Linked DNA regions of Tamandua tetradactyla. The protein of the gene in region 1 binds, or shares a complex with, the protein of each later gene. Links are inferred from orthologs where the notes say so. Each region holds a gene or a part of one and is shown in the gene's direction. Other genes may lie near its edges. The genes, in order: RBM48, DHX16, SF3B2 and CWC15.

Region 1 (7,227 bases):
TTATCTTTCAGTTGATACAGTAATCTCGATTCTTCTGAGTTATCAGCCACATTTGAGAAAGCACTAAGCACTTTCTAAGCCAATGTGGAAGTATTTTGCTATTTCAACATTCCCAAGAGATCTTGGATTAAGTACTATAGATATGACAAGGCTGCCTACAGTGATTTCATCTGTGGGACTCATTTATCCAAATGCAGAAAACTTCTTCATAATTGTATAGACAATGTAAATTCTGGCAAATAAACCACCATTACAAATTAAAAAAAAAGAATGAAGCTGATCAGGTCAGGATTAAGGTAACTCAGAACACAGGGGTAAGGAAGACATTGTCTATATTTTAGAACCTCACCTCTTTGAGACCAAAGGAAGAAAGGCTTATTTTGTCCAGAATCTAAATTTTCTGTAGCACATAATCTAACTCACTCTGTCTGAATACCTCATTTAAACAACTGAAACAAACACAGGGAGCCCAGAATAAGAATGAGGGCCTTTAATCCTGTATAGCTTAATGTAATGCCTGGATACATCCTAGAATATACTAAGCAGATAATCAAAAAGTATTGGCAAAGTCCCTTAAGGGACCAGAGAAAAATATGGAACTATTAAACTTTGCCACCAGGGAAATCCCTGACACAGTGTGAAACTTTAGGGACACCCAAATCAATACACCAAACCCTTGATCTTGAGGTTTACTCTTCTGAAGCTTATGTATGTAGTGGAGAAACTTAGCCTACCTACAAGTATGCTTAAGAGTTGCTTCTGGAGGACCTCTTTTGTTGCTCAGAGATGGCCTCACTCTCTCTAAGCCCAACTCTGCAAGCGAAATCATTGCCCCCCCCCCACCACGTGGGACATGACATCCAGGGGTGAAAGGCTCCCTGGTGACATGGGGAGATGATTCCCAGGGATGAGTCCAGCTCTGGCACTGTGGGATCAACAATGCCATCCTGACCAGAAGGGGGAAAAGAAGTATAACAAATAAGGAATCAGTGGCTGAAGTTCAAATAGAGTTGAGATGCTACTCAGGAGGTCACTCTTCAGAAGCTTCAGTTAGACATTGCTACCTCTCATAACTTGCCAAACCCCAACCAAAACCATTCTAGTCAATCCTAAAGAATACTTAGGGCAATATATGAGTCTATAAAGATTCCAAGCACTAGGGTAACTTTCTAGAAACCTACAATCTCCAGATGGGTACCTGGACCAGATAAGTCCTGAAACCTAGAGGGACTTCAAAACATCAGCTAGTTCCATCTCCCTATTGTGTATTATTGATAGCCCCTTCCAAAATGAAAAAGTTAGAATGGCCATAGCCCAAATACCCCTAAAGAAAGGGATAGAAAGATCAAAGGTGATGGTAGAGTTACACAGAGAAGGAAGGGTTTAACAAACAAGTATGACTGGTGAATCATTATATTAATATTTTAGAGAAGCTAGAAGTAAAAACCTAAAATTGTGGAATTGTAACCCATACCAAACTCTAAAATCTGTTCTACAACTAATTGTGGCGCTATGCTTTGAAATTTATTGCTTTTTTGTATATATGTTATTTTTCACACACACAAAAAAGTTGATTGTGATAAAAATTATTTCCTTCTAGTCTCCAATGTCCTGGAGAAGCTAGAAGGAAAAACCTGAGACGATGATATAGCAGCCCATGCCAAACTCCAGGATCTGTCCTGTAACTACTTATTGAAAAGTGCTTTGAAAATTATTGGGTTTTTCTTTCTTTGCTTTGTATATATGTTGTATTATACTATAAAAAAGTTTAAAAAAAAACAAAAACATATTGGCAATTCTTGAACAGAAGGGGGAAGAGAGAAATGAGACAAAATAAAGTTCAGTGGCTGAGAGATTTCAAAACAAATTTAAAAGTATTGGCAAAGTTCCTTGAGGGATGGGAGAAAAAATACAGAACTACTAAACTTTACCACCAAGTAAACCCCAGATACTGTGTCAAACATTAGGGACACCCAAATCAATAGACCAAGTCCTCGATCTTGAGGCTTGCTCTTGTGAAGCTTATGTCTGTAGCGGAGAAGCTATGTCTACCTATAATTATGCCTAAGGGTTGCTTCCAGAGAACCTCTTTTGTTGCTCAGATATGGCCTCTCTCCGTAAGCCTAACTCTGCAAGGAAAATCATTACCCTCCCTTCTTTGTGGGACATGACATCCAGTGGTGTGAGTCTCGCTGGTAATGTGGGATATGACTCCAAGGATGAGCCTGGTCCTGGCACCGTGGGATCAACAGTGCCTACCTGACCAAAGAGGGAGGAAAGAAATATAACAAAATAAGGTATCAGTGGCTAAGAGATTTCAAATAGAGTTGAGAGGCTATTCTGAAGGTTACTGTTTTGCAAGCTTCAGAGAGAGACTGCTAATTGCTATACTGTACTAAACCCCAAGCAACAGCATTCCTGTAAACCCCAAAGAGTACCTCTAGCTTTGAGACGCAATAAAAATTTCCCTCACTAAGTTTGTTTTTCAGAAACCTAAAACCTCCAGATGATTACTAGGCCAGATAAGCACAGAAGCCCAGAGTTACTAGTCTAAGAGCAGAAACCAGTTGTATCCCCCTGCCCCATAATGCTGACACACCTCTTTTCAAGATGAAGAAGTTAAAACGGTCCTTGTCCAAATATCCCTAAAGACTGGGAGAAAGATCAAAGAAGTTGTAACAGAGAAGACAGGATTTAACAAATGAATATGACTACTGAATCATTATATTGTTATATCTTTTTTAATCTCCATTGTCCTAAAGCAGCTAGAAGGAAATACCTGAGATTGTGGAACTGTAACCCATACCATACTATGAAATTCGTTCTACAACTGTTTGTTAAACTATACTTTGACATCTATTGCTTTTTTGTCTATTTGTTATATTTCACAATAAAAAATGTTAAAAAAAGATACCCATGAAATAATTTTTGACTACTTACTTGATATTTACTGTTCTGAAGACTTACAATTTAAAACAAAGATCAAGACTATTACATTCTTAAATAGTGATTAAGGTATCACCCACATCTTAGGATCAATTTAATAGAATTACTGTAAAGAAGCATTCTTATAAATTCATTAGGTAGGGATTTGAAAGTCAGTTGAAAATCTTCATCAGAGCTGAGAGTATTGTACAGGCCTTCCTGAGATTCTTCATCAAAGCTAAACGAAGTGTACTGGACAGGTCTATCTGGGGCAGGATGACTTCAGCCCTGAAGGAAGCCTATCAGAGCCAAAAGACTATCTACTTTATGGTAAAAGAACTAATAGAAGGATTCTTCTGAATTTAATATGTTTTGAAAGGTGGAAAAAAGCAATCTAGGAGAACAGTTACAGAGAACTAAACTGGAAAACATAGTGGAAATTACCGCAAAATCTTCAAAACTTCTTGCATGGCTTAGCCACTGTGGAAACCATCCATCCAGCTGGGTTTGAGGATTTTAAATGTTCTATTTTTTTGTCCCCGTAAGTATACTCATGTTTGTGAGATCGTGTGCCTTTATTTTTATTATGAAAATAGGGATGCTGTATATCTGCCTGTGCTTAAAGCTGTGAAACACAACTGGCACAAAGGCCAAAGAAGCGACCGACAGCAAAGGTATTAAGTATGTATTTCGAAATATGCATAATTCACTGTAGGTTGCTGGCACACCTTATATGTGCTCTGTAGGCCAGCGGCGCCGAGAGAGCTATCATTTTATTAACCTCTCCCGCTCGTGGGCGCTGTTCAGTCCCTGTTAACATCCAAGTCTGCCCTTTGCTCTTGAGGCCCGGACGGCAACGGTGCAGGCACCTGGAAATAGGTTACAGGAAAAACACATCTAAAAATAATAAGCGACTTCTCAGGAGATTGTCCAAACTGTAAGTGAGGGCTATTTCTGAATGCAAAAGTAGAATTTTGGCATTTTTAAAAGCCTAGTTTCACCAAAGTGAGAAGTCCTGGAATAAGGTACGTAAATTTAACGGCCCGGGCTGCTCTAGACGTGATATGGGATGCAAGGACTGTTCAGGCCGGCCTGCCCTAAAGGGGCCCCCAGTTTGGCCTCCGTACGGTCCGGCGGCGCCGGGAAGTAAGCTAGTGACCAGCCGCGGGGAGAGAGGCCTGAGCTGCCGCCGCATCCCTAACATCTCGGCCACGTCCGGCCTCAGGCGGCCGTCCGGCATCCGGGCAGGAAGTTCCTGCCCGGGTCGGCGCGTTACCTGCAGGAGGTGCAGTTGAGCCACGAGGCACCGAGGCAGGTGGAGGAAACAGTCGCGGGCGTTGGTGAAGATCACCTTCACGGCCGCTCCGCCTCCACCAGCGCCTGCCAAGCGATAGCTGCCCCACATCGCGAGCTAGCGCAGAAGCCGAGTAACCCACCCTTGCGCCGCGGCCGACTGGGACCAGGGCAGGCTGAGGGCGTCGGACCCAGAGAAGATCGATCGGCCCGCCCCCGCGGCCCCGCCCCCTTTCTCCCGGCGAGTCTGACCCGGAGTCCTTTAGGGGAGGCAAGAAAGCCTTCACTCACTTTCCCGGCCTCTCCTCCGCGCCGCTGGGGGCGGTACCTCGTTCACAGAACCACAGCTCACAGGAAACGATGGCCGACGCTGTCGATTCTCCAGCCAATCTCTGCGCGCCGTGAGCCCTCTGCTCTCTCATTGGATAAACAGTAGCGCAGCAAAGCGGATGTTGTCCTCTCTCCCAGGGCCAAAGCTGTCAAGATGGCGTTGAGTAGTGGGGAACTAGGGGGCTCGTTCGACCACCACGTGCAGAGAGCGGTGTGCGACTCGCGGGCAAAGTATCGGGACGGTAGACGGCCTCGCGCTGTCAAGGTAAAGTGATATGGGTTCCATTAGCCAAACTCGGTAGCTTTAAGTGAGCATTCACTCCAGATTTTTAAGTAAGGACAAGGCTATTGTCATATTCATCTCTCATAGGATATGGGCGTTAGAACCGAGGGGCAGGCAGGCCCCACAGATTTTCCCGAGCATCAGGTCTGTGAGAGCAGGGCTGTGTTAGTTTGCAAGCTGCGGGAAGTGATATACCAGAAATGGCACGGCTCACAGGAACGCCTTTGTCGGCTGAGAAGTCACGTAGCTGGCATTTGCTGGTCCCTAGCTCCTGGGCCCGGTTGCTTTTATTCTCTGTTCCTATCCGGATTGCTCACTTTGCTTTTCCAGGGCTGACTTTCATCTCTTGGCTTCTCTTGAGTCTCACCAGGTTCTGTTTTGCTTGACTCTCATGGCCATATCTGCTGTGCCCCATGCTTCTCCAGACATCCGAGTCTCTGTTTTCCAAACTTTGGTTTCTGTGCCAGCTCTACTCTGAAGTTTTGTTGGCCCTGTCGTTTCACCGAAGTGTTTCCCCCTTTTAAAAACTCTAGTAATCTTATCAGGACCCTCCTGGAATGGGTGGAGTCACATCTCCATGTACGCAAAGGTCACGCCCACAATCCGGCGTGTCACATCCCCGTGGAAATAATCTCATCATGTTTCTAACCTACAGTGCTGAATAGGGATGAAAAGAAACACCTGCTCCCACAAAATTAGATCAGGATTAAAAGATGGCTTTTCTGGGGTACATAATATTTTCAAATTGGCACAAGGGCTTTGCTTTATTCTTTGTATTTTACATTCTTATAACTGCTTTGCACAAGGTAAGTAAGTACTCAGTAAATATTTGTTGAGTGAATGTTCCCAATAACATGATCCGTTTTAACGATTCAGTGTCTGGAAAAAGTCTACTGAAGGTGGTCTGGTATATATTTTAATTAGAGGCCTTCCCATGTGGAACTAGTTATTCTTTATGCAGAAAGAGTGGCAACTTTTAAAATTTTGTGTATTGTCTGCAAATTGGGTTGAACAGTTTTATTTTCAAAGCCTATTCTTACAAATAAGGGTAAATTTACCCTAGGCTTATTTGTGAAATTCATTTAATGACTGCATTTCTTTTAGGTATATACAATCAACTTGGAATCTCGGTACTTAATAATACAAGGAGTTCCTGCAGTGGGAGCAATGAATGAATTAGTTGAACGATTTGCTTTATATGGTGCGATTGAGCAATATAATGCTCTAGATGAATACCCAGCAGAAGAATTTACAGAAGTTTATCTTATTAAATATCTGAATTTACAAAGTGCAAGGTAATATGCAAGTTAAATAGTGTTTCATTTCCTCCATCCCCATTGCTATCAAACTGGTCCCAGGCATTCCTGAATTACCCAGTAATCTAACATAGCCCTGTATGGCTCTTATTTTCCTCCAGCATTTTTAAAGATGAGCCTTACCAAAACACTGTTCCCATCATGTCACTCCTATGCTTAAATTAACAACTATCTGTTAGGTGTAGTAGATGAAAAATTGGGTTTGGGGTAAGTTTTCCATTTCCACTGCTTTCTAGCTTCATAACCTTGGGCAAATTATTTAACCTTTTAAAAGTTGTTTTTTTCTCCTTCTGTAAGACCCATCTGGTAAAAGGACCTCCTTTTGAGGTTGTATGAGGATTGAAATGAGGTAGTCCATGTAAGGGTTTCACATAGTATTTTCCATTCAGAATGCAATAAACATTAGCTCTTGAGGTTCTTATTTTTATAGTCCTAAATGAATTTTCACCATTTATGCAGCCTGCCATATTATATAAACCCTCATTTCAATAAGATTAAAGTATAAAATGCCTCATCCATTTTTTGTTAATTCCTAATTTTGCCACTAATCTGCTCCAAAAGCCATCTTTGTCTGGTTATTACAATTCATATTTTCTTGTCTGTGTTACCAGTAGCACTCATTGTCTGCACAAAAGCATGTGATTTTATGGAGTCATGTGTTGCTCTTATATGTAATCTCACTTCCCCAGTCAGCTTTCCAGTTCCCAGTGGTTATGGAAACATATTTTCTAAAGCTTTTGCATTTGAATTCTAGCTCCACCAAAACTAGTTGTGTGACCTTGGCCAAGTTATATAATCTCCCTGTGCCTCAGTTTCATTATGAGGTCGTGTGAAGTGTTAATTCATGTAAAGCAATTAGGACATGGCATATGATAAATATAATATTTCTTATTATACATAGGCACAGAAGAAGTATTTATTTATTGTAGTAGAGCCTGGTCAGATATAGATGTTCAATAAATATTTCTTGAATGAATACCATCCTCCTTGTTTTCTCATTGATTGGTTGCTTTATATTCAGTATTTCTTAAATTATTGCAAGTTTTACAATGATAATATTTTAATTATTAATGTTTTTTT
Region 2 (7,956 bases), on another chromosome or scaffold:
TCCCTCTGTTTGTGTGGACTTTCCTCTTTCTCCCCGTGAGCTACGGGAAGGTCTTTTGGTCCTCTGGGCCTTTCCATGGGTCTCCTAACCTCTCCTAGGTACTAGGTCCCCTTGCTCTGCGTCTTCTCCAGTTGTAAGAGATGAGAGAGGAGAGCATGAGGGACAAGGTGTCAAAGGCCCTTGGTTTCCCAGGGAAAAGCAAAGAGCTGAGGTTATGGAAACCAATGAGCCTGTCCTTTTTGTCTGGGACTCACTTCTCAGCCAGCTCTTTCTTTTTTTTTTTTAATATTTGTATTGACAAATCTTCACAACATACATTCCAAACATGGTGTATAATCAGTGGCTCACAATATCATCACATAGTTGTGTATTCATCACCATGATCATTTTTTAGAACATTTGCATCACTCCAGAAAAAAAGAAATAAGAAAAAAGAAAAAACACATACATACCATATCCTTACCCCTCCCTCTCATTGACCACTAGTATTTCCATCTACCCAATTTATTTTACCCCTTAGTCCCCCTATTATTTATTTATTTTTATCCATATTTTTTTACTCATCTGTCCATACCATAGATAAAAGGAGCATCAGATATAAGGTTTTCACAATCACACAGTCACATTATAAAAGTTGTATCTTTGCACAATCATCTTCAAGAAGCATGGCTACTGGAACACAGCTCTACAGTTTCAGGCACTTCCCTCCAGCCACTCCAATACACCATAAACTAAAAATGGATATCTATATAATGCATAAGAATAACCTCCAGGATAACCTCTCAACTCTGTGTAATCTCTCAGCCACTGAAACTTTATTTTGTCTCATTTCCTTCTTCCCCATTTTGGTTAAGGCTTTCTTAATCCCTTGATGCCGGGTTGCGGCTCATCCAGGGCTTTCTGTCCCACATTGCCAGGGAGATTTACACCCCTGGGAGTCATGTCCCATGTAGGAGGGAGGGGGAGTGTGTTCACCTGCTGAGAGGCCACATCTGCGGAACAAAAGAGGTTCTCTGGGGGTAAATCTTAGGCCTAATTTTAAGTATGCTTAGCCTATCCTTTGCAGGAATAAGTTTCATAGGGGTGAATCCCAAGCCAACTCTTTCTTGCTGAGCAGCTCAAATCTTACCTGTTCTGGGACGCCTTTCTGATTGCCCCAAAGGCACCCAGGGACTGGGTTCTGATCACAGACTGATTTTGATGTATTTTAATTTCCTTTTATACTTCTGCCTTCCACACTCTAAACAGCAGCGACGTTGGCCCTGTTATTTCTTTTGCCTCCCAGGCTCCTGCCAAAGCACAGGCCAAAGTCTGATGTTTTTAAAACGATATTATTGAAGAGGGAAAATCTGGAATTGAAGAGTCTGAATGCAAAGGGAAACCAGATCCCGTAGTGGATGGGGAGGGGAGACGAGTCCCTGCCTCTCCAACTTCTACCTGCTTTCCCAGCCGGCTTCTGGGGCCGGCCTCATCACCTCCCCCATTTCTCTTCCACCCCCAGCTCAAGATCTCCTTCAGCGAAACGGCCCTTGAGACCACGTACCAGTACCCCTCTGAGAGTTCAGTGCTGGAGGAGTTGGGCCTGGAGCCCGAGACTCCCAGTGCCCCCAACCCCCCAGCGGCCCAGCAGGACGATGAGGAGGATGAAGAGGAGCTGCTGCTTCTGCAACGGGAGCTCCAAGGCGGGCTGCGAACCAAGGCGCTGATAGTGGGTGAGCAGAAGTTCCGCCCGCCCGAGCGCGCCCCCTGGTGTTCAGAGCGGGCACTGCTGCACTGGAGGGAAGGCGCGGGCTTGGCAGGACTCTCGCCCAACAAGCTCTTTTCACAGACGGGGAAACTGAGGCCCTGGGAAGGGAAGTGCACATCAGGTCTCCAGTTTCCAAGACCAGGGCTCTTTCTGAACACTCTAGTATACTTAAAAACACAGGGTTTGGATCAGACAGGCCTGAGTTTTAACTTCAACTTTTATCTTGTGGTATGTCCTCGGGGAAATTGATCTCTCTTGGCCTCTCTTGTAAAATGGGGGTTAACAATAACTACCTCCTGGAGTTGTTGAGAGGTGTGAGTAATTGTTGTCACGCACCTAGAACCATGGGTAGACAACAAATTACTTAACCTCTCCTGGGACTATTATGAGATTAAATGAGTTATTATAACATTGCCTGGAACAGAATACAAGCTAAATGAGTCGCTGATGATTGCAAGCATCAAAACCTGGAGGACATTATAGGACTTCCTAAGTGTCAACTGCCCTTCATTAGTGGGAGGGGTTGGGGAAGGGGGGCAGAGGCCTTCACTCACTCTCCATCTTTCTTGCTCCCTCTCACACAGATGAGTCCTGCCGGAGGTGACCATCTTCCCACATGGGGCTCTACCTCCCTCCTTCCCAAAACTGAAGATCCGGGAGCCCAGAAGTTCTGGAGCAGATAAATCCTGAAAATGAGCCTTGCAGGGAAGGGCAACCAACATCCCCTAACTGGCTTTCCTCTCATCCTATTTCTGGGGGCACAGCCAATTGCCCAACTTCACCCCTAAACCATGGTCCCTGGTGTGGGTGGGTCGAATGTGCTGGTGCATGCTAGGTCATCTGAGAGTGAACCCTAAGTGTTGGGAAGGAGCACAGAGCTCACTGGGAGGGGTGATGTGGTGGAGATGGAACACACCTCCTCACGCCCCATTTCACAGGCAGGGACACTCCCCACAGTCTTCCTCAGTTCCCTATCACCCCCCTGGGGACTGGCAGGATTTAAGTACTCATCTGGCTGGCAGGCCTGGCCCTTAATCCCTTTACAGGCACTTCTCCCACCTCTTCCCTAGATCATCACCCCTGTGTTTACAGCTCCTGTCTCTCTGTTGACCACAGCCTGGTTTACAAGCCCCACCAGCCCCCCAGCCCATGCTGCCAAAGTCCCAGGTTTACGAGCCATGCCCACTTGCTGAGTCCACGTGAATTTCCTCTCTGCCCTCTGCATTCACCTCACTGGGAGTGGCCAGGGGGTGTGGCTTCCTTCACTTTTGCTCAGTATTACTATGCCTCAGTTTTCCCCAAGAGGAAAGGCTGGGATTCTTAATTCCTAATCCCCAGATAGTTATTTAATTCTGTTCCTGCTAGTGGTTCACAATTGATATTGAATTGAATTGTACAGTGGTGGGGTGAATAAGGACGCATTTCACCTCTTCCCCATTGCTTCTTCCTTATCAGTTGTTTGTGTGTTGTTTTTTTTTTTAACTTTCTGTAATAAAATGGAGCTCCCTGTGACTCCCCTTGCTGCTTGTTTAGAGAAAAAAAGTGTATGGGGGAGCAGGGAAGGCTCTGGTTTCATCATTCCTGGCTTCTGTCTTCCTGTTGGCCATGAAGAGGAGGTAGTGCCATGGCTATGGGAGGGAACGATATGGGGGATGAGCCAGGAACGTAGCACTAATGTATAAAAAAGGGCTCGGGGAGATCCCTGCATAGGGCTTGCTAAGGACAAGCTGGAGCCATGAGGAAAGGCAGTTGAGATGTCACAAGACTGAAAGTTCCAAGAGGGCAGATCATGCCAGTTGGGTTAACTGCAGTATTCCCAAGCTTGGCACTTGGTAGATACAAGATAATTATTTCTAAAATGAATGACTGAAGAGAAGAATAAATAGATGAAAGGAACTAAGAAATCTGTAGAAGAGGAACTCTGAGTTGAAGATTCCAGTATTCAGAAGCCTGCTGCAATGCAAGCAGCCAGATAATGTATGACTCACAACCTATGTGGCTAATTTGTGCCAATACGTGAGATCATAGGTAGTAAATCCCCAGAAATGGCTGCAAAATTTAGTGAGTATGTACAGAAGTGGAGTTTCCTGAAAAACTGTTTTCATGAATAGACAACTTTTTATCTTCCTAAAGGATTAAGAACTCACAGCTTTGCTCCCTAAGTATAGTTGATGGTGGATTTTTCCAATTCAAAGAAACTGTTATCTTCTACAAATGTGGGGCATCTGCTATATTTTACTTATCAGGTCATTTCTAAGCTCTACAGCCTAGTCGTGGTTAAATACCAATAGTTCTCTATCACTATACAAGATGCCTCTCTCAGCCTAGTCAGAGGACACCCTTTTGTTAGAACCCAAAGTTGATCTTAGGCATATGCCGAAGATCTTTAATTCACTAGCAAGGTATCAACAGAATGAGCCAGTTCAGTCTGTGGTATGGAGGGAAGCAGTGCTGACAGCAGCAGCTAATTGGGTAAAGATGTAAATCAGCTGTGATCCAGGAAAGCTGGCCCAGAAGCTCTGATGCCACGGGTGTCCACAGTCCATTTCAGACACAGAAAACAATGCATCCAAAAAGTCAATAATATGAATCCACCTGTGGCTGTTAATTGGAATAATAACAATGTTTCATTTCTCAACAGAAATAAAATAATTGGATAAATCCAATTAACCATAAAAGTATGAAGCAGGGTCAGAGGCCACACAGCAGAGCATCAAGTAACAGGTTCTGCTTTTAAATGAGCATCCACCAGTGAATTTCTCAAAATTCCTTTAGCTTGGGGATTTATTTTTATTTTTTGTCTTAAACAACTTCCTGAAAAGCAAGAAGAAAAGAGGGCACCTTTGTTTTGCTTTATTTTTCAAGTTTCTTCCGGCCCGGAGGGCCTAACTTATACTAACCTGTATCCACCCCTGTTGCAAGTATCAGTCCTATCAAAGGTCACTTCGAACCATCCTGTGCTAATCTTCCGATCTGAAACAGAATCCTTCCTCTCTTACCTTGTTTTATTTTTGGTTCCATAGAACTTACATATTTTACACATTTGTTATATGTCTCGTCCGCCTCTTCCCACCCCCACCCCCACACCCGCCTAGAATGTAAATTCGGCAAGGGATTTTTTTGGTCTGATTTGATCTCTGCTGTATCCCGAGCGACTAAAACTGCCTAGCACACATTTAGCTCTCGGTATTTGTCCACTAAATGAATGAAGTGCCGAAGGACTGACTGACCATCAGGGGGCGAGAGAGAGACAGCGTAGAGGCGGAAATGGGTATGGGAAGCATTTTAGCCCCGTGTTCAAGGACGGTCCCGCGAGGCTTGAACTCTCTCGGCCACCGTAGTGTTTAGGCCAGAAAAGTGCGTTTCCTTCCGGCCTCCGCAGTCTTGGAAGACGGCTTTAGGTTGGAAACCGAACCATGAAGTCCTAAGGGAACTCCCTTGCGGAACTGAAGCTCCGACTTGGGGCTTCAGGCCTCCGACGTGACTGACAGCCAGCTCGGCTGCTCTTGGCGCTTCAGGACCTGGAGCAGGGAGCGTGAGTCGCCATGGCGACGCCAGCTGGGCTGGAGCGTTGGGTGCAGGACGAGCTGCACTCGGTTCTGGGGATGAGCGAGCGGCACGTGGCCCAATTCCTGATCGCCACCGCTCAGCGCTGCTCTTCAGGAGAGGAGTTCTTGCAGCGCCTGCGAGATACCGACACGCTGGATCTCAGCGGACCGGCCCGGGACTTCGCCCTGAAACTCTGGAACAAGGTGTGGGGATGGGGTGGAGCGCGACTGGGGCGGGGCCCGGCGTGGGAATGGCGGGAGACGGGAAGTCTCCCTTGTTTGTCCAGATGAGGCTGACCTTAATGTCCATAGAAGAGTTAAATAAGCTTGTTCACAAGCACTTATCTTTTGTCACCCGGGAATTATGCCAGGTGCTGGACATCCAGCTCAGTGGAGAAGATCGAGGGGAGGGCTTACTTGTGTTACACTTGGCTGAGTGAAGTGGTAGAGAGCAGTGGTTCTCGAACTGGGATTCATCCAGGGCCCTTGTTAAAATGCAGATTCCGATTCGGTAGTTCTGTGGTGTGACCTTAGTTTGTACATTTTTGTCAATCTCCCAGTTGATGCAGATGCTGCTGGTCCACAGGCCGTACTTTGAATAGGAGGGCTGTAGAAGACATATAGGGGAAGTGCTGTGGGAATGCAGAGAAGATGGGGGTAGGGATCAGGGAAGGCAAGTCTTCCTTGTCAGGTAAAGTCGGGGGAAGGAGTCAAAGTGTAAAAGATGAGCTCAGGCAGGATCGGATTGTGTATTTCTTGTCTTTGTATTTCTACTGCTAACAGTGCCTGACTTGCAGAGCAGTTCTCTGTAAATGTAGAAAGAAAGAACGCGTTTCATATATTCAGAACCTGGCAGAATAGCCTGGTAAAGCTGTGGCATGTGGTGCCTGGCAAGAGATGAGGTTAGAATGTAAATGCCATGAGGGCTGAGACTCCAGGTGTCTGTTCACTGGTGTATTCCTGGGGTCTGATCCAGTGCCCAGCATGGGGAAGTTTTCTGTAAAACAATTCTTGGGGCTTGTTAATCCTTGTCCAGGAAAGGCTCAATCACTGGGAAGAACAGAGCCAGGAGAAAGTGGCTGAGCATTTAAAGATTGAGGTTGAGAATATAAGCTCCTTGAGGACAGGATCATTTGTTTCTTTTATTTATTCCTGTATCTCTAATGCCTGGCACATAACAGGCATTAATAAATGTTTGTTAAGTGAATGATTTATTGTAAGGAAGCTCAGAACCCTACTTAGGCCAAAGGACATAATGTGAATGTGGTGGGGAGAGAGAGAATGAAGTCTGGTTTGAGATCAAGTAATTCCTTAAAAGGACATGAAATTAAGAACCTTGGCTAAGTAAGATGGGCAGAGATCAGGAATTGTTCATGTCTTTTTATCTTCTCCTCTACTGACAGGTACCACAGAAGGCAGTAGTAGAAAAGCCAGCTCGAGTAGCCGAGCGAGAGGCCCGAGCCCTACTGGAGAAGAACCGATCTTATAAGTTGCTGGAAGACAGTGGGGAGAGCGGTGAGGAGATTGCCGGTAGGGCTGGGAGAAGCCTCCAGAAGAAGCATAAGAAACGGAAACATCTCAGGAAGAAGCGCCACGAGGAGGAGGAAGAAGAGGAGGAAGAGACCTCAGAGAAAGAAAAGAGGAAAACAGAGTAAGTCAGAAGCAGGGTGAGAGAGGATGGGGCAGGTGGATGAAGTTTGATAAGCCTTCTGGATACCCTTATTTAATCTCCTGGGTGGGGTTGCAGAGGGAGTAAACAGCAGACAAAGAAGCCAGAGTCTGAGGATGAGTGGGAGAGGACTGAACGTGAGCGCCTTCAGGACCTGGAGGAACGTGATGCCTTTGCTGAGCGAGTTCGGCAACGGGACAGAGATCGGACTCGCAATGTCGTGGAGCGGTCGGACAAGAAGGTGTGTAGAGGCCAGCATATCCTCTGAATCCCCCCAAAAATCCCTGAGTCAAATCTGAGGTTGAATGTATTCCTAGAGATGGTGATTTCTGGGAAGACATAGGACTGTGAAAGCACTCCTTTGGGTCCTTTGGCTGTGGTGACTCTGCTGTTCCTGCACCCATTGAGATTCCTTACTGAGAGAGGATATTTTGTGCTCAGGCACATCTGAATGATCCTTGGGATTCTAGAAGGGAAATGACTGTGGGTGTAGGGGCTTCTTACCTTTCTATCCCGCCACTCTTGGTTTCTTCTCTTAGGCTTATGAAGAGGCTCAGAAGCGCCTCAAGATGGCTGAGGAAGACCGGAAAGCCATGGTGAGTCCCAGGGCCCAGGAAGCCAAGATTAGATGAAAAAGGAAAGACTTTCTGATCAGGGGTTAGGGGTAGAGAGAAAGGATGCAAAGGAAATGTGGTAGAGATGCTGATGTAGTGGTCAGGTCTTGGAGGAGGGGGGTTGGTTGACAGGAGCCAGCTGAGAATGGAGGGACTTAGAGAAGGCCATTGGGTGAACATCAGTTATCAAGGGCAGAAACTATGAGTGGTAGCTATCCCAAACCTTCCCTAACTGGTAACCATGGAGAGCCAAAGTTAATTAGTATATCAGTGAGGAAGAGATGAGCCTTTCCTGTTCCTGAGACTTAAATGGGGTGTAAGCAAAAAGCGACTTGTCAAGGAACATTGCCAAGTGATGGCGAAAGGGCGGAGGTGGGA
Region 3 (7,642 bases), on another chromosome or scaffold:
GACAGGACAGCCTGCAGGAAGAATCAGAGTCCTTAATTCTCCTGGGATGTACACTTTCTTCCCTTTGTCACTGTCCTGCCTACAGGACTTGGTGCCTACACTGGAGTCTCCCAAGGGGAGCAGGCCCATTCCTATCCTGGTAAACTTGTTGAAACTACCCTATTTCTCAGAGGAGTTGGAGTCAGCAAAGGGGTTCAAGCCTGGGGGGAGTGGCAGTGGGCCTTTCTCCAGAAAAAGGTGACAGGGGTTCTCAGTGCCCTCTACATCCCGTTCTTGGCCCTTTCCCAGCTCCCCTCCATGGCTCAGCCTTGTGGAGCCAGCTGGCCCCCAAGCTCTGGCCTGCTCAGGAACATAGGTGCTGGAAGTCCCTGGGCATCACCCCCAGAAGGTGGGCACCAGCTTCTGCTTGGCCACCTTCCACTGGAGGCTTATCACCTTTGGACACTGCCTGGCCCATCTCTGAGCAGCCCTGGCCAGTGAAGAGTTCTTTCTGGGACAGCCAGGATCAGCTTCCCTCCCATAGGACCCTCTGCCTCTCTCCTTCCTTCACACCTCGCCCTATATTGTTGTTAGTGCTGCCCTCCCAGGCCCTTTCCTCTGAGACAGACTTTCAGGTATTTGAAGGCAGTAACCATGTCCCCTTCAGGTGGGCCCTCGACCAGGCTGAACATTCCATGTCCCGAGAGAGGCTGCTGCCTGGACCCTGGAGGAGGTCTGCCTTCCCCAGGCAAGTTCGCTTCTTGGAGTCAGAGTGCTAGCATCCTGGGCAGGGGCCACCTGGAGCTGGCTTCCCTCTGTTATTGCCAGGCCTGTGTGGGTGGGTGGCAGTGTTGCTGGGGCAGGTTTTCATGTTAGAGAAATGCACCTGGCCCCTGCTCCTCAGTAGCTGCAGACTACACCCCTGTCTCCCCAGGAGAGAGAGAGAGAGAGAGGGCCCCCAGTTATCCGTGACAGGTTAGGATGCCCAGCCTCATCACAGTATTGGTACTAATTTTAGTAAGAACCATCCACCTCAGGTTGCTGCCTCGTTGTGCAAATTGCTCTCCTTTCTCCAGGGAACTAAGGAAGAAATGGTTCAGCCAGCCAGAGCTTTGAAATTGGCCTGGACACCTCCTGGCTCCCTGATGAGCCCCTTCTCCTCTCTCTCTTCCCACCTCCAGGGCTGGTGTGGGTGTGGGTGGGGTGGGGGAGCTGCTCTTAGAGGAGAAGGGGGCCCTGGGCTGGACCACCTGGCTGGAATGCTGCATGACCTGGGGATTCCATCCAGACTTGAGGGATGGCAGAGCCGGTGGAGTAGGGAAACTGACCCAGGGAACTAGAGAGGAAAGGGCCGAGGGATCAGGGGGATTGCAAAAGAATGGCCCCAGGAGATCAAATGTCTTTCCATCTCTCTCTCTTATATTTTTCCTTCCCCTAGGAAGGGCCAGGTCCTCTCCAGCCCCCTCTCGCTGTCATCTACCCCCATGTCATCCCTGCCTCCAAATTCCCTTCATCCTCCTCTCTCCATCATTCCCCCCCACCCCCCCACCCCCCACCATATGCATACATTCCCTCGATTTCATCCCAACCTCCCCCTGGGATCCACCACCCGCATCCGCATCCGGTCACCACAGTGAACAGGCCAGATTCGCCCTCGCACCCCGTCCTCTCTGGCTCCTCGGGGGTAAAGCGCCCCCTCCCTTGCTCTCAGGCACTAGGCCCCCGGGGCACTCTCCCTTCCACCTCTCGTTCCCCATCCTGGTCTGGCCCCCCCCGGCGCCCCCAGCCCAGGCTGGCCACTGTAATACTCACGCCGCGCTAGCTCTGCCTCCCACCCGGGTGGGGGTGGTCGCCGCTACCTCCCGCGCTTTGTCCCGAGGTCCGCGCCGGGTCCAAGGGCTCCGGGGGCCCTGCGCGCCAAGTGCGGGTCGGTCGGCTCGCCGCGTCTGGATGGGATCAGGTGGCGGCGTCCGCTCGGCTCCGCTCCTCTCCTCTCCGCTCAGCCCGCCGCCCGCCCCCCATCGCACACCGGAGGCGGGGCGGGGGCGGGGGCCGAGGCGCGCAGGGGAGGGGGAGGGGAGCGAGGAGGGGAGCGAGGAGGGAAGGGGAGGGGGCCGCCCTGGCTTGCAGGTGAGGTCGGGTGAACCTTCTGCGGGTGGCAATTTCCGATGCCGGCATCTTCACCCAGCAGGCTTGCCGGGTCTGGACTCCATGGCTAGTCCCCTTCCCTCAATTTTCAGAAGGGGAAACTGAGCCCCAGAAGGTGTTTGAATAGGCTGGCATTGCAAGGCAGTCCTGGATGCCACTAGTCATACCTGGGTGCTGAAGCCTTATTCCTGGGGAACTCAAGAGACCCAGGTATACTTACAGGAGCAACCACGTGCTCAGTCCTTCCTCCTCTTCACTTCTTTCCACCTCCAGCAGAGAAGCACAGCTCTTGCCCCTTGTTTGGCCCCATCTCCTTCACACCCCCAGATCCCTTCCCTTCTAGCTTGCCCCCTTCTCCCCCAGGGCAGCCCTCTTCTGCTTATCCATTCCTACTCCCCATCAGGACTCCACTCAGTCCTGACCAGTGCTTTAGTGGGCCTGGGACCCTTGCCCAAGCATCTTGCACCAGGAATCAGAGGATCCAAGTTCGGTGCTGGTTCTGTTATTAGGTCCTGAGTCAAGAGGCAGCTCCGAAGCCCTGTTGCTTCAGTTCTCAAATGGAAATAAGCACTCCTGCCCTGCCTCATCCAGGAGCTGTCCTAAGATCTCAGTTTGTTCAAGTGAAGGCTCTGTCTGTGTGGCCTGGGGGTGGTCCTGAATTTCCTGCTGCCTTTGTAGTTCTTAGCTTTGGATACCCCATTTAGGGCCACACAAGCAGGTATTATACGAGGGTCCTTGTTGAGAAAGAATGTGGACTCTCTAAGTAGGGGAACTACTTGTGGCCCAATTGGCCCCTTGGACATGTTGGCTTCTCTCCACCCCTCAGTATTCCCCTCTGCACAATGGGGGAGTCCTACCCTGCCTGCCTCCATGGTGAAATGAGTTCCCACTTGGCATGTCCCTTTCTGGCCCTTAGCAACATTAACTTTTCACCAGTCAACTCTAAGCTTATCTGTCTGAGACAGAGACTCCCTCCCTTCTCCCCTAGGACACACACAACAGGGGGCCTCCAGCCTCAGGTGACCTGCCAGTGACTTTGGGGTTACAGGAGGCAGAAAGGCTTTCTGGATCAGAAAGGCTTAGAGTGGGTCAGGAAGGTAGGTTCTGCCAGAGTGGACTGACAGTACTCTTGTGCCTTCTCTGCTGTCCTTTTCTGGGTTTGGCTTCCCCTCCGGAAGTTGCGGTAGGAGACTGGGGTGGTGGTGATAATGGAAGGGGGATGGGTAAAAATTTGGGCAGGAATGAAGGGAACTTCTCCATCAGGGCTAGAACATGAGCTGACCTTCCTGGTGCAGACCTTTTCTCTATCTCTACTGAACCGAACCTCCCTGGACTTGGGGTATCCAGGTCTGTTGGGGGCAGTCGGTGAAATGGCGCCAACTAGAGAGATTGGAAGGATGTGGGGTGGAGGGGGCCGATAAATGAGACAACTGAACTAGGGCTCTCTCTTTCTCACCCAACACGCGCGAGCGCGCGGACGGACACACACACACACACACACACACACACACAAACACACACACACACAAACACACACACACAGTGAGCCTGGCTGTCAGTGAGGGTGAGGAGCTAGTTTCAGCAAAGAGCCCCTGCCCATCCCTGCCTCACGGCGCAGAGGCCACTTGGGAGAGGGCTGGCGAGGCTTAAGGAAGAAAAGTCCCTGAGTTCATTTTCGAGACGAAGAATTTGCAACTCTTGACGCCAGAAAGATTGTTCCATTTAGTCTTTTTCATTTACTGAGCGCCATTTCAGTGCCAGGTACTGCGACACAGTAAATAGATCAGCTCTCTGCTCACATTCCTGGAGATGGGGTGGAGGTGAGGAGAAAGGGCAGAATACAGACTTGAGTAGTGGAGGTTTGAAAGTGCTTTGGGAGCTCCAAAGGAAAGGGAAGTGGGAGAAGACTTAGCGGAGCGGACAACATCTGAGTCGACCTGGAAGGTGGAAAGGGGGGCTGTAGTGTCGCCCTCCCCGCCCCCAGGTCGGCAGCTGGAGCTCGGCCCGGTCGGGCCTGCTCCTCTCCCGGCTCCGATCCCCTTTCAGTCCATTCATCCATGCCTGGGCCGTGGGCGGGCGGGCAGACAATCAGACCCTGTGTTATCGCAGGCATCGGCTTCCACCTCCGGCTTAGCGGCCGTAACGCGTGGCCGCATTGGTGATGAATCTCTCGGGACTGCCCGATCAAGGGAGTCGGGTCGGAAGGCTCAGCAGGGAGACGTTGAAAGCACTCCCTCGGGCCAGGAGGCGCTCCCACCGCAGCACCACCCACGCTTCGGCCCGGGTGTTTCCCAGCGGCGTCGCTGGCTCTCATATATAGTGGCTTGAGTACTACAACTCCCAGAAGGCTTCGCGACTCGCTATGTAAGGACCATTGGAGAAAGGGCGCGTCTACGGGGACGCAATTGGGGGCGGGCCTCGATCAGAAAGTACTCCCAACCGCGAGAGGACGTAGCGTATGGCGTTGCCGGAAGTTCCGGGAATTGGGCCCGGAGGCTGGCTCGAGCTTCCGGATTGGTTGCGCGCCTTCGTGCGGCTAAGATGGCGGCCGACCATCCCGAACCTCCCAAAGGGGACTTGCAGCTGCCGCCGCCGCCACCCCCAGGGCACTATGGCGCTTGGGCTGCCCAAGAGCTTCAGGCGAAGCTGGCAGAGATCGGAGCTCCGATCCAGGGTGAGGAGCGTTGGAAGCCAAAAGGGACTCGCGTGGAACTACGAGGAAGCGGAGCTTGGTTACCCGGGAGACCTGGGGACCGCGGGACAAGGCTGGTCTCTGGGCCTGGACCGGGTCAGACTGGCCTGCTCCGGCCTGACCTGCCTCACTGATCCTATAACTTTGCCCTGCAGGGAGTCGCGAGGAGCTGGTGGAGCGATTGCAGAGTTACACCCGCCAGGTAAGTGCTCGCCGCGGAATGGCAGGATAGGCCGTTTCTCGAGAAGGACTTTAAGTCCATTCATGGCTCGATTTTCGTTCTTTATGCACCTTAGGACATCGGGGGCTTGCTCTCTTTGCCTCTCTTGCCTTTTCCTGCTCTGTCTTAATCGTTTCTGTGCATGTGGGTCTTCCCCATTGCCCAGCCTGAGTTCTGGCAGACAAACACTGGATAAATAGTGTTCAGTGAATGGGACGGAACGTTTTTTACCGTAACAGTTCCTCTTGGACTCACCTACATTGACCTCCTTTTCGCTTTTGCAGACTGGCATAGTGCTGAATCGGTCGGTTCTAAGAGGGGAAGATGGGGATAAAACTGCGCCCCCTCCCATGTCAGCACAGGTGAGGAGGTTGTTTCGTGTTATAAGGTCCTTCGCAGGCTCCGCCCTCCTCTCGAATGTGGTGTACTGGGTTTGCAGCTATCAGATTGGGCAGGGAGATATTGTGAGGACATACTGGGAGCTCTTCATTTCTTTCTTGGTCCTGATATTTGCCTCCTTTCTCAATGTCAGCTCCTCCAAATTCTACCTGTAGTTCAGGACTCAGCGTAAATACCTGGAAGCCTGACATGATGCTCCCTTCCTGGAAGTAATTATCCTTTTCCATGCCCTCCAAGGGGATAATTCCCATGTCATTCAGTGAGACATTTAAAGCCAACTCTCTGAATTGATTGCATACTCCCTGCAATTATTAGGGTTTGCTGGGTGCCCTGGTACACTGTAAATTTAATTCCTTGTAACATCTATGCTCCTTCTGATTCAGGTTTTTTTCTGATTTTGCTTCTTTTTCTCTAAAGCAGTGGCTCTGACCTGGGGTCCATTGACCTCTGTGTGGCATGAGGAGTCCCTAGATAGCCTTTAGAAGTATCCCTGAATCTCCTGAAATTATGCAAGATCTGCACTCATGATCATTTTGTGGGGAGAGAGTTGATAGCTTTCTTCAGTTAATGGTCCATAGTTAATAGTCTCTTTTCTTGATATTGCTATGGTGCATTCTCTTCTTGAATGAAAGAATCCCAGTACCTGTTTCATAATACGTCCCCAAAACATATTTGCAGAATAAATAGATAAATGCTTTCTACTTTATGGTTGTATTTTCTCCACAGCTCTCTGGGATTCCCATGCCACCTCCACCCATGGGGCTTCCTCCTCTGCAGCCTCCTCCGCCACCCCCACCACCTCCACCAGGCCTTGGCCTTGGTTTTCCTATGGGAGTTGGACCCCACCCACCAAGCTTGGGGCCCCCACCTCCCCTCCGTGTGGGTGAGCCTGTGGCACTTTCAGAGGAGGAACGGCTGAAGCTGGCACAACAGCAGGCAGCGTTGCTGATGCAGCAAGAGGAGCGTGCCAAGCAGGTAGGGTAGATGGAAGCCTATGCTTAGGCCTCACCAGGCCCCTGAAGGGGGAGCAGAGCCCCAGAGAGAGCTGGATCCTGGGGCTGAAGCTTTCAGGAAGCTCTGGACCAAGGACTAGAACATAGGCCTTAGGCTGGTAGAGCACCCTAGGAAGCCGAGTTGTGGCAGACTGGCCTGCGGGGTATCGGTGCTGGTATGAGCTTGTTTTCTTTTTTAAGCAGGGAGATCATTCACTGAAGGAACATGAGCTCTTGGAGCAGCAGAAGCGGGTAATGCCCCTCCCCCTAACCTCTGACCTCATGGTCCAGTCAGTTGACTGTTATTTTCTGCTTACTGCCCAAAATGAGATGCCCCATTCAAGTTTTCTTTGGAAGCTCCCTCATCCCCAACTATGTTCCATTATTTCCTTAGTAATTCCAGTCATTCTGTAGTCCAGGGGTTGTCAAATTATGGCCTGTGCCTATTTTTGTACAGCCTGTAAATTGAGAATTTTTAAAATATATTTCAAGGGCTGTAAAAACAAACATGCAAAAAGGAAAACCAAGAACATGCAACAGAATCCGTTTGTGGCCTATAAAAGCCACAGTCCAGCTCTTTACAGAAAAAGTTTGCTAGCCCCTGCGAGGTCTTAAATGATGTCACTTTAGGTTCCTTGGAGAGAAATTTTGGCTCATTTATCCGTTTTTATAGGTGTTAGACTGTCTAATATGAGGAATATAAGTTTGGGGATGATGAGTCAGATGTTATCCCTAGAGGTGCATTGTTTTAATTATCTAATGGGTTACCTGGGAGTATTTAAAAAACAGCATTAAGAGTAACAGATGAGAAAATACTTATGAAGTACTATCTTTGTACCCAGATTGTGCTTGCTCCTGGGGAGTAGATACAAGAAAATAACTCATAGTTCCTTCTAATTAACTTAATCTTTTGAGGAAGAAAATCCTCAATCAAAAAATAGAAGCAGTATTTAGCTAAATATTAATATCTGTGCTAGAAACTAGAAGCTTCCCAGGGTTTTCCTTGGAGTTCTTTCCAAGGATTTTCCTTGGTGATGAGAGGGCTACTCCATTTGGATCCATGACCTGGAAGCTGGAAAAGTGGAGGTGGGGGGAGCTCCGAGAGCCTGAGTGATTCCTGACTGTTCTCCTGGGGCCTCTTACCAGCCTGAAAGAATGCAGTTGCTAGGGGCCACCCATTGAATGGAGTTACAAGTTCTGTCTCCACCCTTA
Region 4 (7,044 bases), on another chromosome or scaffold:
AATTCCTGGTGGAATTGTGAAATACATAACCATAAAAGCTTTAGAAGATGATATCTGAAAAGATCATTATTATCTCTAAGTAGGAAAGAATTTCTTAATCAAGAAATGCCATACACTAAGCAAAAAGGAAATGACTGGCTAAACTGAACTATCTTAAAAGAAAAGATTTTTGTATATCAAAATATACTAAAAAGAGACCAGGAAGCTGGAGAATATATATGCAGTACAAATATCTGATAGAGAACTGGTATCCAGAGTATTAAGAACGTGCAGAAGTTGATAAGAAAAAGATAGCCAATCCAACAAAAAATACTTGAACAGATAACAAAAGATGAAATCCAAATGGTCAACAAACCTATGAAACAGTTATTAATAATGAAGGAAATACAAAGTAAGACCTTAGTGATATATCACTATATACCTACCAGATGAGCTAAAATTTAAAATTGGACAACACCAAGTGTGTTGAGATTGTGGAACAAGAACTCTTATCCTGCTGATAGGAATGTTAGGATATATAAATCTTAGAGAAAAGCACACACTTGCACCTCAGCACATTTATAAGAATGTTCATAGCAGCATTATTTGTAAGTCTCATACAGCAAACATAATTCTCAGAATGATTAAATTATAGGGTGTATTTTTACACAATAAAATTCTATATCGTATACTAAAATTATACATAATACACATTAAGTGGAAGGAAAATGCAAAATGAAATAATACATATGTAATATTGGTGAGACTAAACAATATTGTTTAGAAATATACATATAGTATTTATCAAAATTTATTTTGGGGCTTAATATTTAATCACTTTTTGTAAAGGTTCAATGTTTACTGAAAAGCATATGTATTCTTCTATTTGCTACAGGATTTATGTGCATTCATTATATAAATATAATATGCATACATAGATCAGTGTTAATTTGTCTGCTTGATCTATCGATATGAGAAATTTAAGTTTTAAAAATTCCTATCATGACTGCGGATTTATCCATCTTTCCTTTTAATTCTTTATTTTTACTTCATGCTTTTCCAGGCTATATATGGTTAGTTGTACAAATGCACATGATTATCATATTTTCCTAGTGGATTTTTCTTTGTAATGCAATTTATGTCCCTCTTTGCCCATATTAATGCTACTTAATTTTAATACTTTGAAGAATATGGCTATAAAATATTTTGTTAGAATTTGCCTGATGTGTCTTTTTTATCCCTTTATTTTCTATGCACTACTTGTTTAGTTTTGTGTATTTTTAGTGTTTTGCTTTTAAATTGCCTTAGTAATAATAAACTGGACAGCTAGGCAGGTAGCCATGCGATTAGATTAGGTATCTAGTAACCTAGCCTGGACCATCAACAAGTGGCATTTAATTTTTTCTTTGTTTTTGTTTTCTTGTTGTTGCATTTAATTTGGAGGCTATTTCCAGGAAATCATTTTTCTGAGCTCTCGAGGGTCTCATGTAAAATCAGGATTTGGTTGGTAGAGGCTTTATTTTTTCTACTCTCACTTGTTAAAATGGATTAAAAGATTAACTTTACAAATGGGAAAACAGGTATTTTGGGGGTTAAAAATTTAAAGTCACTGCCATTATTTATATCATTTGGAAACAGGCATTATGAAATAAACATCTCTCAAAGTTAAAGAACTTTTTTTTAAGGCTTTCGAAAAAATTAAATGCTTGTGGCTGTTGGTTTTTTCTGTTCATTTTCCTATTAAAAGGCTCAAAGAAACATTTTTCAAGTAAAAACACACTTTATGGGCTGGTAGCTTTGTAAATGAGGGGGGTTACTAGAATTGGGAAAGATGATTCGATTGGAAGAGATGGAGAGATGGTGCATTGAGTCTGTGATTAGATCAGGGGATTAATTCAATTAGAATTCTGATAGTATATATAAAGCCTGATCATAACCACAGATTTTTTTTATATATAAACAGCCTCTCCTAAAAGCAAATCATCTTTCTGAGTCTCGGTGTATCTTCATTCAAAATCAGGATTTCAGACTAGCAGAAAGTAAGTTACTTTTCTCCCCCTTCAAAATATAAAACAGACAAAAGCAATAGCTTTTTACATTAGAGTGTGTTTTTTTCTTGTTAAAACTCATTTTTTCATTCATTCATTCATTTGGAAGATGTTTATTTCGTTGTGTTTTTTGCCTGTTGGTGCCAGGTGTTGTTTTTGGTGCTTGGCTCACATCACTGAACAAAACAAAGATCCTTGCGCTTGTAGAATCTATATTCTGCATGGAAAACATAGATGAAGGATAGTAAAGGTAACATATAATTAGCCTATACAGGATAATGGAAGATGATACATGTTATGTAAAAAGAAAAAAGTAGAGCAAAAGAGGTTAAGGGAGATATGGAGTGTAGGGTATTAAGAAAGAAAGGGGGAGGAAAGTTGCAGTTTTAAATAGGGCTGTCAAGTAGTCCTCATCTGAGCAAAGACTTAAATAAGGAGGGCAAGATTGTCTGTTCTGGGTGGAAGAAACAGATAGTGCAGGGGTCCTAAGGCAGGAGTGCTGGGTGTGCTCAAGCAATACCAGGTAGCGATGTAGCCAAGAGGGGCATGTGCAAGAGATGAGGTTTAAAAAAAAAAAAAGGAGGGAAGGGACTGGAACAGGAGAGCTTTGTAGGCCATCAGGTGGACTTCGGCTATGTTGTGTGGGAAACCGGGAGTCAATGAATCCCACCTGTCTGACTGGATGCCTTTTTATTCTCATCCCATCCAGATGTATTAACTTATTTTTTTTTAACTGTTGCCAAACTGATGCTGTGAAGTGAAAATTCATTGTTAGTTCAGTGTAAAATCATGGTGGCTTGGACTAGGGCGGTGGCCATGGATTGAAAAGTGATGGCCAAATTTAGGGCATATTTTGAAAGAATTAGCACGATTTACAGATGAACTGGATGTGAAGGATGAAGAAAAGGGAACTCAAGAATGAGCCCTGGCATTTTGGTTTGATGGTAGTGTCATTTAATGAAATGTTTAAGAGTGGAGGAGGAAAACTTTCTATAAAGAAAATCAAGATTTTCATCTTGGACTTAAGCGGAAGGGACTTTTCCACTGTTGTTTTCCCGTTTCAAAGTTACAAAGAAAGAGTTTAGGGAAACCGCTTTTAAATGTTTAGTTTTGTGAAATTTTTTACATCTGAAAATGAGTTGGGGAGATTAGTTTCACTTACTCAACAAATATTTATTGAGTGCCTACTATGTGCAAGGACTATGTGATGACCTATCAAGATGAACTCAGCAAACAAGATCTCTACTGAGTGCTTTTTTTTTTTTTTTGCGACGGGAGAGGGGAGATATCTGATTTTTTTTCCTGTTGATTGTCTTATTAAAACTTCATCTAACGCTTGAGTAGCCATCTTATTTATAATTGCATCTTGTGCTCTGGCAGTTGGGCCCACCGTTCTAAACGCTCAATGTCCGGTGAATAAACGAATGAATCGTTAATACTGACATCTTCCCTCCCACTAGAACTCACACTTAAAAATAATAATTTTAACAAACAATACTAATACAACCTTTGCTTTGAAGTCTAATATTTTTGCAGGAATGGTACCTTTATAAAGATCGTGGTTGCCCCCGTACATATTTGTTCTTTCTTCATATCCAATTAAATGAAAACACTAGCTTTTCCGTAGCCCAACTCTCTAGGCTTGTTGGGTCTAGTTCAGGAGAAAGGAAGCAGGAGCCGGTGGATTTAAACAATTTGGTGTAATCCTTTTCCACGCTCTCTCCCGCTAGTCGGGGACGTGGTGTCGGCTACCCGGGGCTTTCCGTCCACGCAGTACCGGAATGAAGGAGTCTGGGAGGGGGTCGGGGAAGGAAAAGACGGAAGAGACATTAAGTAATTGGTTCTTGAAGGTATAAAATGATATTTAGGGTCTACTCTAAAGCTCTGATTTCAAACGCCCGCCCCCTGAGCCGTTTCGGCCCCGCCCCTTGCTGTCGTCACTCCGACTTCCACCTTGGCCTCTGCGGATTGGTCTTTGTCTCAGCCTCCAAGGGGCGGCTAAAGCGCTTGGGTTTTGCTTCCGGGTCTTGGGCTTCGGCCTTGGGCGCAGAGGTTTTTGGGAACTAGGAGTCGTGATGGTGTCTGAGTGAGCTCCGGGTGTTCCTGCTTCAGATCTCCGCCAAAGTGAGCGGCAGGTGGGTAGCAGATTCTCTTTCTCATCTGGGAGGTGGGGCGAGAAAAGAAGGTTAGTCGGGCGCTGGAGAAGCGTCAGCGAGTTCCTGGAAATAGCCGAGAGCGGGCTCCCGGGGGGACGGAGTGATAAAGAATCCGGGGGAGTTGTGGGAGGCAGCGGCGCCCCCGGCGGCAGAAAACCCTGTTTTTCCCTCTGGAGACACGCCTTTCCCTTTGGAAAAATATAGAGAAGTATACCAGAAATAAAAGATCCGTCCAGTTCTCCCATCCTTCCACATTGTGGCTTTTCCGAGGGCTAAGGGCGTTTAGTGTCACGTCTGCTAGGCAATATTTTAACCAACTACTTAAAGCTGAGAGTAACATAAGGAACAGGCCTCCGATTTTTGGTTATCGGAATCCTGTGAGGTGAGGCTCTTGTGTTTGAGAATTTGTTTAATTCTAACCTACAAAAAAATCTGATTTATAGGGTGATGGCTGTTGTAATAGAATAACTGAATCAATAAGATTGCTGGAGAATTTTTCCTATGTACCTGTCATTTGAAGTTTAACGAGCTTTTCTCCAGCTTAACTTTTCTCTAGGATACTTAATGACTTTGTCAGTGATATTTTAAAGTATCATTTTGTTTCTGTGGCTACTAGCCTATTTGCTGTTGTGCAAGTTTTAGATAAAATGGAAACCTTAGGGAGTCTAGTTGAGTTGAGGTTTTTTAAGTCATTCATGGCAGTACTGTAATTTGCAAGAGTTTTGACATGGTGAATCTCATAATTGCAATAACTCTACAGATGGCAGAAACAAACTAGGTGACTTGGCCCAGGCCACACAGGGGGAAGAACTGGAATATAAACACAGGTCTTCACTACAAAATTTTGTGTTTAGTAACAGCTTCCTAAGAAGCTGCATTCCTTGTATACCTTTAACGTCATAATTTGTTATCCTGAGAACTTTGAGAAAACTATGTTTTGAAAATTATTTCACAAGGTTGACTATTGATTAAAACTTTATTAAATCAGTTTATCATATTGGAAATAACTTTGATACTATTTTTCTTCAAAGCATAAAAGATGACAACAGCAGCCAGGCCAACTTTTGAACCTGCAAGAGGTGGAAGAGGAAAAGGAGAAGGTGATTTGAGTCAGCTCTCAAAGCAGTATTCCAGCAGAGATTTACCCTCTCATACAAAGATAAAATACAGGTAATAAAGATACTCATTTTTTCTTGTTTACAGAATAAGACCAAGTGCATTTAATTGCATGGTCCTGAGACAGTAGCATGTTTGGGTTGTGTCATTTGAATTGTCTACTTTCATAGAAATAGAATATAATAGAGTATGTTTAACACTGAAATTATACTTTCTGATTGCAAACTTTCACAAACTTTCCATTAAACAGAAATTCCTATTAACTGGGAATTTCCATATGTAAGTGAAACAAAAACTGATACCTGATTACCTCAAAGAGACCATGCATCATCATGATTACCTCAGAGAGACCATACATCATCAATGCTGATCAATATGAGATTTAAAGTGTTACTATAAATAACTCTGAATTGATCTAATACTAAGAAAAAAATTCATCACAATGCAGCCTTACACAAATGAAATCAAAAGGAAAGATAGACGATAAAGATGGTATAACCTAGGAATGCCTAGAGTGTATAATGATAGTGACTAAATGTAGAAATTTTAAAATGTTTTTGCATGAGATAAAACGAGTCAATACTGCAGGGTGTTGAAAATAGACGGCAATTCATATTTTAAAACTTCAACTTCTGTGTGAAACTAAAGCAAAAAAATGTTTAATTGGCACAAAATTTATATTTTGACTTGTGCATTTCCTAATATAATTTATGTAGACAGTTTAATTGAACGCTGTAAGTACATGGAGCCTTGAGTAGGACATGAGATTTTGTAGGTTTGTCCAGAGTGATGCCCCTATTAAAAAAAAAAATTGCAGCCTTATTATGGGAAAGTATGTGATTTAGTTTGGGCTTCTTGAAATATAACCATCACACGAGTGCCTGTTAGTAAACTTCCGTTAGGTTAATGATCTTTTCTAGTTCCCTCTTATTCTTGAGAGACTGGAGACAAATGGGTTTTTTTGTGAATTGTTTCCATTTGCTACAGCCATATGTTTGTTTACAAATATTTTTGCCCTGCTTTGTTTCTACTTTAGACAAACTACACAGGATGCCCCTGAAGAGGTTCGTAACCGTGACTTCAGGAGAGAGTTGGAAGAGAGAGAGAGAGCTGCTGCAAGAGAGAAAAATAGGGATCGCCCAACCCGAGGTACCAGCACTATCCCAGATGTTTGTCTCATAAAATTATATGTTAGAGATAGTTTTTCCTTTCATCAGATAACTGGAAGGTACATACATATATATATATATATATATATTAGATATATATTGGTGTAAGCTGTAACACTTTTTTAAATGATTAGACATGATATCTGAGAGTCATTCCAATTCCATCTTTTTATGCTTCTGTATGAGAATGAACATGATTGATCCAGAGATACTCAGTAATCATCATGTCTGTTCAGATCAAGGGGTGTAAGACTGTTTACACCAGCCGTGTGTTGTGAGGTTCCGTTGGTTCTGACTAAGGCTTTCCCATTTGTCACTGACAATTGGCGGTCCTCTAGAGGCATCAGATATAATATCTTTTCCAGTGTATGTAGACTGTTCCTAAATTTCCTGAGAGGGACCACCAGTTACTGCTGCGTAATCAGTAAGATCCCAGTTGTCATGATGATTAAAATCTAAGTTGTATGTGCCCACAATTCTCTAAAATGTTATAGGAAGTATAGTCTTTGTTTCAGTAAGCTCAATGATGATTGTTTTTCCGCAGAACATACAACCTCCTCCTCAGTGTCAAAGAAG

What was found.
Region 2: RBM48 (region 1) and DHX16 share a complex: the UniProt entries of both Homo sapiens proteins name them as parts of the minor spliceosome. The link is inferred for Tamandua tetradactyla from reciprocal best matches to the Homo sapiens genes RBM48 and DHX16.
Region 3: RBM48 (region 1) and SF3B2 share a complex: the UniProt entries of both Homo sapiens proteins name them as parts of the minor spliceosome. The link is inferred for Tamandua tetradactyla from reciprocal best matches to the Homo sapiens genes RBM48 and SF3B2.
Region 4: RBM48 (region 1) and CWC15 share a complex: the UniProt entries of both Homo sapiens proteins name them as parts of the minor spliceosome. The link is inferred for Tamandua tetradactyla from reciprocal best matches to the Homo sapiens genes RBM48 and CWC15.

The regions. Positions count from the first base shown.
Region 1 is NC_135327.1:123,744,624-123,751,850, reverse strand, and holds the start of RBM48 (RNA-binding protein 48), read left to right. Parts: upstream 1-4,330; 5' UTR 4,331-4,702; coding exon 4,703-4,813; intron 4,814-5,935; coding exon 5,936-6,126; intron 6,127-7,227. Other genes in the region: peroxisomal ATPase PEX1, read right to left, coding at 4,202-4,330. UniProt on the Homo sapiens protein: As a component of the minor spliceosome, involved in the splicing of U12-type introns in pre-mRNAs.
Region 2 is NC_135331.1:85,562,213-85,570,168, reverse strand, and holds the start of DHX16 (pre-mRNA-splicing factor ATP-dependent RNA helicase DHX16), read left to right. Parts: upstream 1-4,946; 5' UTR 4,947-5,292; coding exon 5,293-5,499; intron 5,500-6,698; coding exon 6,699-6,946; intron 6,947-7,042; coding exon 7,043-7,205; intron 7,206-7,503; coding exon 7,504-7,560; intron 7,561-7,956. Other genes in the region: PPP1R18 (phostensin), read left to right, coding at 1,502-1,712, 2,332-2,351. UniProt on the Homo sapiens protein: Required for pre-mRNA splicing as a component of the spliceosome. Contributes to pre-mRNA splicing after spliceosome formation and prior to the first transesterification reaction.
Region 3 is NC_135335.1:8,380,620-8,388,261, reverse strand, and holds the start of SF3B2 (splicing factor 3B subunit 2), read left to right. Parts: upstream 1-4,626; 5' UTR 4,627-4,668; coding exon 4,669-4,801; intron 4,802-4,974; coding exon 4,975-5,021; intron 5,022-5,323; coding exon 5,324-5,401; intron 5,402-6,164; coding exon 6,165-6,413; intron 6,414-6,631; coding exon 6,632-6,682; intron 6,683-7,642. UniProt on the Homo sapiens protein: Component of the 17S U2 SnRNP complex of the spliceosome, a large ribonucleoprotein complex that removes introns from transcribed pre-mRNAs.
Region 4 is NC_135334.1:47,987,266-47,994,309, forward strand, and holds the start of CWC15 (spliceosome-associated protein CWC15 homolog), read left to right. Parts: upstream 1-4,031; 5' UTR 4,032-4,162; exon of another isoform or gene 4,163-4,175; intron 4,176-5,214; 5' UTR 5,215-5,222; coding exon 5,223-5,353; intron 5,354-6,335; coding exon 6,336-6,448; intron 6,449-7,012; coding exon 7,013-7,044. UniProt on the Homo sapiens protein: Involved in pre-mRNA splicing as component of the spliceosome. Component of the PRP19-CDC5L complex that forms an integral part of the spliceosome and is required for activating pre-mRNA splicing.